Linked DNA regions of Arabidopsis thaliana. The protein of the gene in region 1 interacts with the protein of each later gene in a pairwise test. Each region holds a gene or a part of one and is shown on either strand. Other genes may lie near its edges. The genes, in order: AGL91 and NAC024.

Evidence for each region.
Region 2: the proteins of AGL91 (region 1) and NAC024 interact in a two-hybrid assay, tested with the Arabidopsis thaliana proteins (one large-scale study listed by BioGRID).

The regions. Positions count from the first base shown.
Region 1 is NC_003074.8:2,090,468-2,093,569, forward strand, and holds AGL91 (AGAMOUS-like 91), read right to left. Parts: upstream 1,332-3,102; coding exon 795-1,331; downstream 1-794.
Region 2 is NC_003070.9:22,240,615-22,243,952, reverse strand, and holds NAC024 (NAC domain containing protein 24), read left to right. Parts: upstream 1-1,717; coding exon 1,718-2,680; downstream 2,681-3,338. Other genes in the region: AT1G60360 (RING/U-box superfamily protein), read left to right, coding at 222-1,205.

The DNA.
Region 1 (3,102 bases):
TGTTTAATTATGCTTCTGATACTTGAGCAAATACATGAACTGATTTTAGAGAATTTTATCCTGTTATGATAGAAAAACTTCTGTATTATACCCGTTAAGTACCATAAAACTATTAGAGAAAAAGAGAGGTCTTTTAAAATTTATATGAGAAGATATGGAGAACAATCTGAAAAACCAGAAACAAATCCTTTAAGAATTCTTAAAAATCTCTACAAGATTTCTTTTAAAAACTCTAAAATAATTCTTAAACAATTCTTAAGGAATTCTTAAATTATTCATAGAATACAATTACAAAAATACTGTATTTTTGTTTTAGGTAATATTTAATAATTTGGAATAAGATATATAGGACATACATCAAATTATGTATTTTGATACTATTTTGACTAAAACTTAAAAATGTTAAAAACACATTTATAAATATGTTAATTAGTTGGTGTACTCTTATGTATTTTTTTCTAATTAAAGATAAATATCTAGAGTGTGTAGACAAAATCTATAATAATATAAGAGAAAAAAAAACAAATAACGCTTTAAAATTTCATATCGTAATCATTATCAATTTTGTAGAGTAGGAGATATTGTTATAATTCATTGTTTTTGAAAAGAGAAAATCTTCATAGTAATATTTGGCAACCGAAAGTTACAAACCATCGATCATCAAGAGGAAGATACAATCAATAAACCTGTACCAACCATCTGCTACATCTCTACCATATAAATCTATAACGACTAATACAAAATGAAAGTTCCAAATCGGTGTTGTTACTGTTGCCTTCTCATTTGCATAACTGCTAATTATCATTAGAGAGAAACATGAGAGAAGACGAAGCCTGCATATGACTAATGTTACTTTGGATCCCACAGCTTATTTTCTTAATCTTAGCCTCAAATTCCTTGAGTTCCTCAAGCGTAAGCTCCTCAATGGGCTTATTGAACTTATCCTGTTCAGCAGATTCAAGCCACTTGTGAAGATCTTCACCATGTTTCTTCTCAGCTTCAGCTTCTTCAGTAATCGAGTTGAGGCGTTTACATATCTTCTTCTCCTGTCTAGCTCTATTGCCTCTACTATAGCCTGATGTTTCACAGCTATCTCCTTCTTCTTCTTCTTCGAATTCATTCTTAAACCGTTCTGCAATCACATCAAAATTCGGTTTCCCGAAGGAATACGGTTTGTTTCCTGGAGAAAAGACAACAATACCAACCTCCGCGTTGCACAGAGTCGCAAGCTCGCTCGCTTTCTTGAACAAACCCAGCCTACGTTTTGAGAAGGTAACTTGCTTCGTGTTTGTGTCTTGCACTTTCTCCATCTTAATCTTTCTCCTACCCATTTCTTTTTTTTTGTGTGAAATGTTTTGAGTGATTGTAATCTATGTTTGTGTATATAAGAAGAAGATTGTATTTCTTTATGTATTTATAGTAATGAATGTGGAGAAAGTTGTTATTGAACCTCATCATCATATATGTATATTTTTAGTAAACTTTTGTTTTTGCATATATATACATATTTAGTAACTCCACTTTGAAAATCTTGCATTACCTTATGAGAGCATTGAATATTTTCCATGTATTTAATCAATATTCATAGATATTTAACTATTATTAGTATTATCTTACTATTAGACCTCTTATTAAATGGTAGTTTGAATTACAAGGAGAACTTTACCAAGTTAATAAACAAAATTTCTTCTTTACCAAAATAGTTTATTTCCACCCAACAAACAATAATAGTAGTTTGACAAATAATAAACACATATTAAAAAAATATTAACTTCTATGTATTATAGTAATAATCTTACGTGTCATATTTTTTTTTTAAATAGTATTATTTCTGGGTATAATTAATCATAAACATCTATGTACATTTAAAATTAAACCATTATTTATATTCAATAAAAATATAATCTGCAATGCGTTTAACCCATTAAGCCTTTTTTTTTGTTAGGTATAATTAAATCGAAACTCTATAAGTCTCTAAATCTATTACGTGGGTCAATTGACTTTTTGCAAAATTAGTTAGACTTCTATATATAAAAGTTGACTCTTGTCCACTAAGACAATTGACACCTGTAAAATTTTTATGGTATTGAACCCAATTAAATTTATTTTAAGTAAGTATGTTATATATAATGAAGTCCATTAATATAAATTATCTTAAATATCTTAATACTTGTTTGTCCATATCCTAAAAAAGTAAAAACGGTTTGGCTTCTTCTTTTTCGTTATTTCTTTTATTTTAGATCGTAGAGCTTTAAAATTAGAATTTCAGTAAAAACAAATTATGACTCCGATGGAGTAATTTTCTGGCTCTTACAGAGAGAACAAGCGTGGACTATTAATTGAAAAGCACAGAACAACCGCTGCTTATCTGTTCCATAACACAAAACAAACAAATAGATGTTATAAATGAAATTCAATCAATGAAAATTAATCACTCTATCTGTTTCAAAATATTATTATATGTCTTAGATAAAAGCACAAAGTTCAAGAATCTAACTAATTTTTTTGTTATATTTTTTACATTAAAAACATAACTTAATATTTAATTATAGATAATCTAGCCAATGGTGAAATTTAATGTAGAATATACATAGTCACAAATTTGAATGAATTTAATTTTTGTCATAGAAATCTAAATGTTTTTCTAAAATATCTTATCATATAAAACAGAGGGAGTAAATACATTAAGTTTTCAAGCCAAAAAAAAAAAAGAAAAAAAAAACTTACAAGGAGGTAGATATCAATTATGTAGATCAAAGAATAAGCCGTCCAAAGTCCAGCGTTGATGAAACTAACTAACGACAGCCAAAACGGCATGTACTTGAAGGTCTTACTCTCCAGCATTTTTTTCTAATTGTTGCACGAATTACAAACAAAAAAAACTAATCAAAACCGCTAATTAATACTTAACCATCAATGAGAGTGAGAGTGAGAGTGAGAGTGAAAGCTTTACCTTGGCAAATGAAACATAGATACAAATGTTGAAAATGTTGCAAACAATCCCAATGAGTGTATACTTGGCGAATAAACTTTGAATTGCCCAAATAGTAATCACATAGAACGATGTCACAAAATCAAACACAGCCAGAAGACATAGATTAA
Region 2 (3,338 bases), on another chromosome or scaffold:
CGAGAAATGATTCTAGCCTTTAGCTAGAGGTAATCTTAAAAGCATAGAAAACTAGAAAAAATGAGCATTGCTTCTTCATCCATCTCAAGCTTTGCCTCAAAGAAACCAAGACCTATATTTGAAAAGAATCTGCCCTTTTCAATTGCCTCATGCAACCCTCAACGTTATCTATAAATGTTGTAAATGTTTATATGTCTTGTGTATAACAATTCCTTCCAACAATGTCATTGAGTCAGCCAATAACACGGACCGATAGTGCACCCAATGGAGCATTTAGGACTTTTGGTCTCTACTGGTGCTACCATTGTGATCGTATGGTCAGAATTGCATCCTCTAACCCATCAGAGATCGCCTGTCCTCGATGTTTGAGGCAATTTGTCGTTGAGATTGAAACGAGACAACGGCCTCGGTTTACTTTCAACCATGCTACTCCGCCTTTTGATGCTTCTCCTGAGGCTCGTCTTCTCGAAGCTCTCTCGCTCATGTTTGAGCCTGCAACCATAGGTAGGTTTGGTGCAGACCCATTTCTTAGGGCAAGATCCAGAAACATCTTGGAACCTGAATCAAGACCCCGACCGCAACATCGAAGACGACACAGCCTTGACAATGTTAACAATGGTGGTTTACCTCTACCAAGAAGAACATATGTTATTCTCCGGCCCAATAATCCGACTAGTCCACTCGGAAACATAATTGCGCCACCAAATCAAGCACCACCACGGCATGTGAACTCACATGATTACTTTACTGGAGCATCAAGCTTAGAGCAGCTGATTGAACAACTAACACAAGACGATAGGCCTGGACCACCACCTGCGTCAGAACCCACCATTAATTCCCTACCATCTGTGAAAATAACACCACAACATCTAACTAACGACATGTCCCAATGCACAGTGTGCATGGAAGAATTCATTGTTGGTGGGGACGCAACGGAATTACCATGTAAACATATTTACCATAAAGATTGTATAGTCCCGTGGCTTAGGCTTAACAATTCTTGCCCTATCTGCCGCCGTGACCTGCCACTTGTCAACACCGTTGCTGAATCTCGAGAAAGGAGCAATCCTATTAGACAAGACATGCCTGAAAGAAGGCGTCCAAGGTGGATGCAACTCGGTAACATTTGGCCATTTAGAGCAAGATACCAAAGGGTTAGTCCAGAAGAAACAGCAAACCAGAATCCTCGAGATAACAGGAGCTAACTCTGAATATTCCATGGGAAATAAAAATCGTGACTATCTATATGTATAGACTCTATGAGACATTGTCTATTTGAATGTGCATGTATATCTCAGAAATAAACTCAAGCGAAACATATTTAACGACTAGAGAAAGCCCTACCAAGCCCATAGCGATAAGAAGGACTTGCATGCTATAACAAAAATAATTAGTGGAAAAAGACTGTAACCTTGAGTAAACTAAACTTCTCTCTCAAATCTTACTGCAGTTCTGTCTTAGTGGTCTTACTGTAACATCCTTTAGTTTCTTGAACCCATCCATTAAAGAGGGAAATAAAGTTGCGAAATAAAGAGAGATCATCAAGAGTCAATTGGTCACCACGAAAATTATAAATAACGGTCGCTACTAACTTAAAAGCACATTTATTCTCTACTCTCTTCCTATTCGCTTCGTCTCCAAGAAACAAACACTCATTCTTGCGTTTGATCTTTCTTTCTCTAGATCCCATATTTTTCTTGATCAATTTAGTTTCATTATGGAGGAAGATGCAGCTTTTGATCTACTCAAAGCCGAACTCTTAAACGCAGAAGACGATGCAATAATCTCACGTTATCTGAAGCGTATGGTCGTCAACGGAGACTCATGGCCTGATCACTTCATCGAAGACGCAGACGTGTTCAACAAGAATCCAAATGTGGAGTTCGATGCTGAGAGCCCTAGCTTCGTGATAGTTAAACCTCGAACAGAGGCTTGTGGTAAAACCGATGGATGTGAAACTGGTTGCTGGAGGATCATGGGTCGTGATAAACCGATAAAATCGACGGAGACTGTGAAGATTCAAGGGTTCAAGAAGATTCTCAAGTTCTGCCTAAAGAGGAAACCTAGAGGATACAAGAGAAGTTGGGTAATGGAAGAGTATAGGCTTACCAATAACTTGAACTGGAAGCAAGATCATGTGATTTGCAAGATTCGGTTTATGTTTGAAGCTGAAATCAGTTTCTTGCTAGCCAAGCATTTCTACACTACATCAGAATCACTTCCTCGAAATGAGCTGTTGCCAGCTTACGGATTCCTTTCATCAGATAAGCAATTGGAGGATGTATCTTATCCGGTGACGATAATGACTTCTGAAGGAAACGATTGGCCTAGCTACGTTACCAACAATGTGTATTGTCTGCATCCATTGGAGCTCGTTGATCTTCAAGATCGGATGTTTAATGATTACGGAACCTGCATCTTCGCTAACAAGACTTGTGGTAAAACCGATAGATGCATTAATGGTGGTTACTGGAAAATTTTGCACCGTGATAGGCTGATCAAGTCAAAGTCCGGGATAGTTATTGGTTTCAAGAAGGTGTTTAAGTTTCATGAAACGGAGAAAGAAAGATACTTCTGTGGTGGAGAAGATGTGAAGGTAACTTGGACTCTAGAAGAGTATAGGCTTAGCGTGAAGCAGAATAAATTCTTGTGCGTTATCAAGTTTACTTATGATAACTAAGAATCTTTTCTTTGGATTTTATGATCATCTTAGTATCTTGAGGACATTCTCTTTAAAACATATATCGATAGTCTTTGTGTTTATATTTCTCTGTTCAATATGATTTAGAGACTAGTGTGCTTTTTTCTCTCTTTCATGTGGTTTGTGATTGTGAGAGGAGAGGCTTTTTTGTCGCTGCAATATTTTAAACCCAAAATAACACTAATCGCATGTAAACAATCGATATTAGCAGCAATCACAAACATCAGAGACAAATTGAGCCTTATGTAACCAAACATGTACATATGATTCGACAACAACCTACATGTTTCTGAATCAGCAACCCGAACAATCTATAAATTAAATGAAGATCAATTAAATTGACATGTTTTTTTATCTGCTAAGCAGAGATTGTTGTTGTGTTGATTTCTCGTGTATATGCACATGTAGCCTTTTTGGTTGCCAGAGACTTAAGAGAGAAAGAATATTTTCCTCTGTTTTAAGAAATATTCAAAGAATGCCATGGACTAGGATATAAAATGCCATGGTCTAATATGATCCGTTTTAACATTATATTTATACATATGTCAACGAAACAACTATCATATATTTTAAGCTGATACTAATTTAAGCAGACCAGGAAAAACAAAAAAAAAAGTTTATAAATTTTTTATCCATT